2 linked regions of the Mus musculus genome follow. The protein of the gene in region 2 purifies or fractionates together with the protein of the main gene of each other region. This does not show direct contact. Links are inferred from orthologs where the notes say so. Each region holds a gene or a part of one and is shown on either strand. Other genes may lie near its edges. The genes, in order: Kdm4b and Fbxo22.

Region 1 (4,449 bases), on a different chromosome or scaffold from region 2:
GGGTGCAAGAGCAAACAGAACCACTGGTCACTGAAGGCAGAGTGAAGGGAGCAGTGAGAAGCGGTAGCTGGGACATAGGCAGATGGAGCTACAGGGCTGAAAGTGAGGTACCAGCAAGGTGTGGGTAAGGGCCAGCTGCACATCTAGTACAACGAACGCCCACCCCAGGGGTGACCAAGTCACAGTGAACTGAGCCAGTGGGAACACTAGTGCAGAGCAGAAAGCATCCAAACTCCTGGCCCCTAGCTCTTGATCCTCAAGGCCACCTGAGGCCAACGCTATAGATAAAGAGGGAGTCAGGATGCTGCACAGAGCAGGAAAGGCACCTGCTGAGGGAGGGATGTCAATCCAGACCTCTGGGATTCCACCATAGCCTGAACTCCAAGTATGGTGAGCAGAGCCCAGTCCCTGCCCCCCATGGGCCCTGCAGTGACAGGTCTCTCCAGAGGCAGGCCATCTGCTATAGTCTACTCCCTGTCCCCTGTTCCCAGGAGGCTTTGGCAGACTGGTGGCTCTAAATCTTGCTTCTGGAGCAAGTGACAAGCCCAAGGCCACCAGGCCCTGAACCCTCCACCCCACCTCCAGTTCCAGAGACAACCATCAGGAAGTACATCACAGCCCACACCTCTACACCACAAGCGTGAGCACACACGCATGCACTCGAATACCCAAGCACCTCACTGTCTTATGGATACTGGGCTAGCCAGATCAGCCTCTTCCCAGCACTCCCAAGGAGCCCCAGGCCCCTGAGTGATCTGACAGCTTGTTGACTCCCCACAGGTGTCAGGTAGCACAGGGACAGATGGCTACCTAGTGCTGGGGCTCCCAGGACAATGTGAGAAGGGGCCCAGCAGAGGTGGGAAGCAAGAACAGAAAGTCTAAGTAAGGGCTGGGCAGGCAGGGAAAACAGAGGGGCCCCTGGGGCAGGGAAGGAGACAGGCTACAGGCTACAGACAAATATCTACAAGACTGTAACTGAGTCTCCAGATACAAAGTGTACTATGATATCTCCTCAGCAGCCCTCTCCCCGGGAGGAAAGGATTAGAAAATCATTTGTCAATCAGACCTATACAATCCCAGCTTAGAACACACACATTCACAGGTGCGCCTGGATATGCACAGGTACATGGAGCACCTGGCACAAGGACATTTCCACCCCAAACATCAAAACACCCCATGACAGTCAGGCTTCCTGCCCTCCTAGGGAGAGGATGAAAAGTTTGACTGGAGTCTTGCATAGGGACCCTACAAGTTTAGATACAGAACACCCACAAGGCTTGGGGAAAAAAGGAAGGGAAGAAGAAAGCTGACTACAGCTAGAGCAGGGTGGGAAGAAAAGGTTGGCCCAGTCTGGAGACACGCCCTTTTGGTGACTCTGAAGGCAGCAATTACTGGAGAATTAAAGAGAGTGATTAGCCCTTTCCTGGTAGTGGTAGGAGCCCCTGAAGACCCACGTAATGAACCCATTTTGAGGCAGGAGCTGTTTGGGGAACAGTGCAGTCTCCAGCCTGGGGACTGTCAGATACACAACTAATGGGACACAGAGACATCCCGGACCCCCCAACCTTCTGCAACCAAGATCCTCAGCGCCTATGAAGGTGCTGGCACCAGGCTGCAGGCTGAGCAAATCCCACTTGGTTACAGGGAAAGATACACTCTTTCTTTTTGCTTTTTGAAACATACCGGATCCATCCTCTCCATAGTTGAAAAAAACTAGCAACTACTCCGGCAAGACACTTCCCCAGGTGTTAATTATTAAAGCGATGCCATCCTCCGCCCCGCCCCCCCCCCTTTCAGACAGATGGGACAAGGAACCGCGATGCCCGAACCGTAATGGCCAAACCGCACCAGTTACAGCATCAAATCTGCAAACCTGGAATCCCTTATACTCTCAGCTGGCTGACCGAAACCCCTAACAGAACCCCCAAAACCCCCCAGGATATGGCAGTAGGAAAGCCACCCCCAGCTGTCCCCAGCTTTGCCAAGCTTCCCTGTCTGCCGGGATGCCCTGGACTAGTGTGCACGCGGAAAACTGCACATTTCATGGCTTACAGAAAGAAGGGAGCTGGAAAGCAAAGAGACCAGGGTACAGAAGCGAGGTGGAAAGGCTGCCATTGCAATAGCAGATACGTGTACTATTTATTTTCATTTTTAAAATGCAGATTATATGGTGATTTACAGATTCTGGACATGCGGGGGTCAAGTTTGCAAGGCCATGATGGGTGAGTGTTTGGAGGGGACAGCTCCAAACCAAAGGGAACCAAAATGCAAGCGGCGGGGAGCAGGGACTTGGAGTGGGTTTTTTATTTTTAAGGATTTGGGGTTGTTGAAGGGATGGCTGGACCGGGCCACCCACGCTGTCATCTTTTGTGCCCTGGAAAGGGGACGCGGCGCCCCGCCCCCGCCCCGCCTTTGTCCGGCCCCATCGTCAACCCCCCCCACCCACCCCCAAAAAAACACACCCTCCTTTCCCAGGCACACAATCGTTTTGTCGATCAACAAACAGCAGCTTCGCCCGAACGGACAAAAGCGCGGCGTACTCCGCCGCCCTGAGGAGCCGAGTAGGCCGCAGCCAAAGCCTCGGCCTGGAGTGCGCGCGGCGGCCCAAGGTGCGGCGTGGGGGCAGGCATGGCGGCCGCGCGGCCCCCCAAAGGGGCCTGGAAGCTGCTGAGCGCCGCCACGGATCGCACACTCACTCACCTGGCGCAACGCGCGGCCCGGGCCGCAGACAGCAGGCTGAGCGGCGCGTGCCCGGCCGTCTCGCGTCGCCCCCGCCGGCCCTCACTCGCTCGCCCCGGCCACTGGGCTCCGAGCTTCGCCCGGTCTCTTTGCTCCTTCGATGGTTCGCTCGCTCGCGGCCGAGCCCTCAGCAAGAGCCCGGGGCGGGGAGGCGAAGCTTCAGAGGGGCGGGGCGACGGCTCCTACTCGGCCGCCATTGGGCATTCAGCCCACGCCCGCACGCTGATTGGTGGCGGCTGACAGCTCCACCCCTCCCCTCATCAACACCGAGCGGCCCCGCCCTCCGCGACCTGGGGCGGGAGCAGGCACTCGATTTCTTCCCTTCATTGGTCCAACCCCGAGGACGTGCCGGCACCCACTCACGTGCCTAGTGACCGGCTCAGCTTTCAGTGGGTACGAAGCATGCCCGTCAAGATGCACACAGCCAATCCGGCTGCGGTCGGGTGTAGGATAGCCCCGAGCTCACGCAGATTGACAAGCGCGTTCTCAGACTTTACTGAGACAAACGCGGATTGGTGTTTGGTACCGGTCTCTGGGTGCCGAATGGTTGCGACTGAATGTCAATCGCTGTCTTGCTGCTCCAGACTCCACCCTGTGATCGGGCGGCTGCTGAGTACGTGATTTCCTGCACAACATCAGCTCTGGGTCCGGAGACAGTGGTTCGAAACCCAGTAGTTCTAGATCTAGAGTCAGAATTTGAGCCCAGCTTTGCAAAAGGCCGAACTAGGGTAAGAGGATCTCAAAAGCGTTCCATATTGCCCTCCCCAAACGTTCATGAGTTCCCTAAAACGTGCGCGACTTGGTCCACCCCACCCCCCACCTTGAACTGATAGCTGTACCCATGGAAAGCGTTGCAATAACTCAGTGGAAGAGGATTCAATTATCTACTTCTCAAAATGTCCTAGGTCCTACTCTCTAGCTCAGCGTATTGCAAATTGGAGGCCTGGGCACCCAAATTCCAGCTACAGGTGTCCAAGCCCCTGCTCCACACAATTGTTTCCATCTCTTCATTGTGCGATGTGAAGGGAACAGCATCACCACACCAGTCACCCTGCACTCAAGAGCATTTAGTTAAGGTCTGATATCATCCCCATCAATATGCATTTATAATTTTAAATTTTTATTATTTTGTATATATGTGTGGTATATACCTCTACAGGTCAGAGGGCAACTCTGGAGTTTGTCATCTGGGTTGTTAGGCTTCACTGCAAGCTCTTTTATCCAGAGCCTGCTTTGCAAACTACCATTACGGCTTCTATACTTGAGCAAGCAGAGGTGACAACATTCCTGTTTTATGGGGTAGACTAGAAATCCTTCTACTTTAATATCTAACATCTGGAAAGTACCCTCCTTAGAGCAGGTTCTTTGTGCACCCAAGATATTTGTTCTACCCCCCTAGTCTGTTGCTAATTCACTAACTCTCAAGGTTACACATAAATTATTCCAAGCTAGACGAGTCTTGAATTGTTTCCATTGCTCTTCATTGTGCAATGTAAAGAGAACAGCCATCACCCACGCCAGTCACCATGTACTCAGAATTTGGACTACACCATCATCTTTAGTTACATTGAGCTGGAGGCCAGCCAGGGCAACTACATAAGACCCTGTCTCAGGTGAAACAGCTCAGTAAACTTGCCTTCTAGCCAGATGACTTGTGTGACCCACAGGGTGGAGGAAGAGTCCTTTGTCCTTCGGACCTCCACAGGTGGC
Region 2 (3,311 bases):
TGTGATTATTTTTTGCAGCTTCGTTAAGTATCAGCAGTTGGCATTTCTAGGCATTTGTTTTTTTGTGACAAACCAGCAATTACTTTTTTAATACCTGTATTTGATTTTATTTATAAAGTATCTATTGTCCTATTAGTACAAACCTTTGAACAATACAGAAATGTTACCTTGTAAGAACATCCTGCAACAAGTCCATGTTAACTTCTGCCTGTAACACAAGCTAGAAGCAGGCAGCCTGGGTCCACTGTGAGGGGCCAACAACACAGTGTAAAGAGACCCAGGATCCCTCTGTGATCCCCACCACAATGGAGTACTGACATCTCTGCAGTGTCCAAGGTGACCTGCCCATATTCCAAGCAATAAGAACAGAGCAAACAAAGGTCACGCCATTGTTGGGAAGGCAGGCATGAGTAAAGTGTGCAATGTAAACGTGGATACTGAGGGGCTGCTGCTTACACACCTCCCCCTCAGTCTGGGTTACTGTTAAGAGCCAGTTATATCCTTCATCCTCTTATCAACAGCAATAATTACAACACCAGTTGAGTGGGAAGTATGTTTTATTGGTGTACAAACAAAATATGGTGATGATTTTCAGAACTGTGTGATAAAGGCTGTTCCCTTGCAGTCTCTTTACTATGAAGAGGAAAAAGCTAACTCACAAAAAGAACGACTTTATACAGTAACAAAACAGACTGTTCATCAGAAAAGTAAAAAGTCAGTAATATTTGTTACAGCTTCTGCAAAACTTCTCAAACCAGTTCTTTAATTCTCCTTTCTTCTTTTTTTTAGGGGGGGTGTGTGGGGGTTTCGAGACAGGGTTTCTCTGTAGCCCTGGCTGTCCTGGAACTCACTCTATAGACCAGGCTGGCCTCCAACTCAGAAATCTGCCTGCCTCTGCCTCCCGAGTGCTGGGATTAAAGGTGCGCATCACCACGCCTGGCAATTTTCTCCTTTCTTAAGTCATGATTCTGCTAAAAGTTCATCAAGCACTATTTAAACCTCCACCTTCCTGGTGGCCCTCAACCTCGCAGGGCGCTTATGCAGTGGCTACAGAATCTGGGGCAGTTCAGCCCCGGCAGCTTTGCTTGCGCCTAACCACAGCCTCACTTCTTGACTTGTGTGCTTACAATGTTAATGCTGTCCTTCATCTATGTATTAAAAAAATCATCCCAAAGTGACCTCAGAGCGTCACCCAAAGCTACAAAACACACATAGCTAGTTTTGCTTAAAATATTTGGATCCCGAGTTTCCATTTTCCTAAAAAAGAGAAACCCCCAAAGTTACATGGTGTGAAAGGTGCTCTCAGCGAGGCGGCTCATTTAGAGGTTCCCAGGTGAACGAGAGCCATGATGGTTGTGTAGCTATGGAACAGGTCCTCTTCCTTTACCTCATTACATCTCCTCAGTATAAAGTTCCCAGTGACTATCCGGTCGCAGCCAATCTCCCCATTTCCAAAGAAGCCAAATAAGGGGACACTGGGAAAGAACTTTCTAAATGCATCAGCTTCAACATTCCCCTTGGCTCTGTAGTACTGAAAGCCTCGGCCAACGCATGCAAACATGAAGCCAATGGTGTTCTGTTCAGGGATGTTGGCTGCTTTGAGGCGCTGCATAGCAGCCTCGACGGTCTTGGCATCATTTACATCCTCAGTGAGGAGAACTGTGGCACTCTGGATTCGGTGCCCACTAAATGACAGTCCAACCACACCTGTGGCATCAATATCCAGAGGGTTCCTGGAAATAGAAACAGAAAACCATCAACACCTCCTGACTGACTAAGGGGAAAAGATCTGCTGCCTTTGGCAACCTAAGCTTTGGTCTGAGGTTTATCCCTCTCAGACAAGGAGTAAAATTAAACTGTTATTAAAAAACAGGGCAGATCAAAAAAGGCAAGCAGCTGCCCTTTTCAGGCACAAATACACTATACAAAAGCTCCTCCTGGATTAGTAGTTCCCAGTAACTCGCTATCTGACCATTCTAAACGGAACCTAGTAGGTAGGTGCACATAGACATGGCTTTGCAGTGGAGGTGTTGGCAAGCACTGTCACTGACTGACGTCCCACCCCTCGATACCTAGGCAAAGCATGCACCTTCCTCCACTTCAGCCCATCCACTGTTAAATTATGAAAAAGATATATTAAAAATGTAATCATGGAGGGTAATTTCAACTCTGCAGGTTTCAGCTTCCCTGCTGGTTTATTGCTTTGAGCCTGAAATTTGACTCATTTGAATTTTAAAGCTTCACAACTTGGGGTAGGGATAGCTGGAGAGGTGGCTCAGGGAAAGAGCAGCTCCTGCCCTTACAGAAGCTCCCATCTTGGTTCTGAGCACCTACATCAGGCGATTCCTAACCACCTGTGACTCCAGCTCCAGAGACTAGTAACCTCTCTGGTCTCTGCGGGCACCTGCACTCATGTGCTCAGTCTACACAGACAGCATTTGGATGGAGCGCTCAGGAGTCCTTTCTCTTGTCACCTGTGTGGCCAAGGATTGAACTGAGGTTGTCAGTTCTTGTGACAAGTGCTGCATCAGCCCTGTTAAGACTTTTTTTTAATGAATGGGACTTTTATCCTTACAAAAGAAAATGCATTAAGTTATAAAACTTATACTGACTACTCACTGGGAAGAAACATACACCTTAAGTCCCTATGACATTTATCAACAACTGACTCTATAGAATGGGCAAAGTTCTCTGGGGTAACAAGAAACAAAGCTATCAAGCATCACTGGGGCATATACATACACGCAAAATAAAATCTGGTATACATTTCCCAAAAACGAAGACCAAGGAATACTAGTAATATACCCATAAGCTGCTGCTCTCTGGGGGAAAAAGGTTAGAGATGCCACAGAGAGATCCTGCCTCCAATGCAAGTGGTTAGAGCCTGACAAGTTTTTCCATGAAGACCTGGCCCATGTAACAACTTTATAGTCTAACCAGGATAATTTGTGAACCACAGAGATGTCTTTAAGAGGCTGAAGTTTGCTTTAGACATAAGAACTCAATCTTCAAGTAATTGCTTAGAAAGATGAGCTTGCAGGGTCCAACTGTGGGACTTCTGCTCATTTGCTGCCCACCTCCTTGCAATCGTCCCTCCTGTGTGTACTCAGCATATGCAGAGATCTCAGCACCAGGCTAGTCTCAGCTCATTTAAGATGACTTCCACACAAGGGCCATGGAACACTGTTTACAACAAGGTGCCTCAACCTCACCTTAGAATTCCCCTTTCCCTTAAAAACTCAGTCTTCCTTATTTGTTTCTATGAAACCTCTACTGCCCAGTTACACTCAATTCTACTGAAGTAAAAGCCA

What was found.
Region 1: the proteins of Fbxo22 (region 2) and Kdm4b purify together in Homo sapiens (affinity purification with western blotting; 3 studies listed by BioGRID, with this or other methods). This does not show direct contact. The link is inferred for Mus musculus from reciprocal best matches to the Homo sapiens genes FBXO22 and KDM4B.

Annotation. Positions count from the first base shown.
Region 1 is NC_000083.6:56,324,481-56,328,929, reverse strand, and holds the start of Kdm4b (lysine-specific demethylase 4B), read right to left. Parts: upstream 2,881-4,449; 5' UTR 2,701-2,880; intron 1-2,700. UniProt on the Homo sapiens protein: Histone demethylase that specifically demethylates 'Lys-9' of histone H3, thereby playing a role in histone code. Does not demethylate histone H3 'Lys-4', H3 'Lys-27', H3 'Lys-36' nor H4 'Lys-20'.
Region 2 is NC_000075.6:55,221,662-55,224,972, reverse strand, and holds the end of Fbxo22 (F-box only protein 22), read right to left. Parts: intron 1,734-3,311; coding exon 1,316-1,733; 3' UTR 540-1,315; downstream 1-539. UniProt on the Homo sapiens protein: Substrate-recognition component of the SCF (SKP1-CUL1-F-box protein)-type E3 ubiquitin ligase complex that is implicated in the control of various cellular processes such as cell cycle control, transcriptional regulation, DNA damage repair, and apoptosis.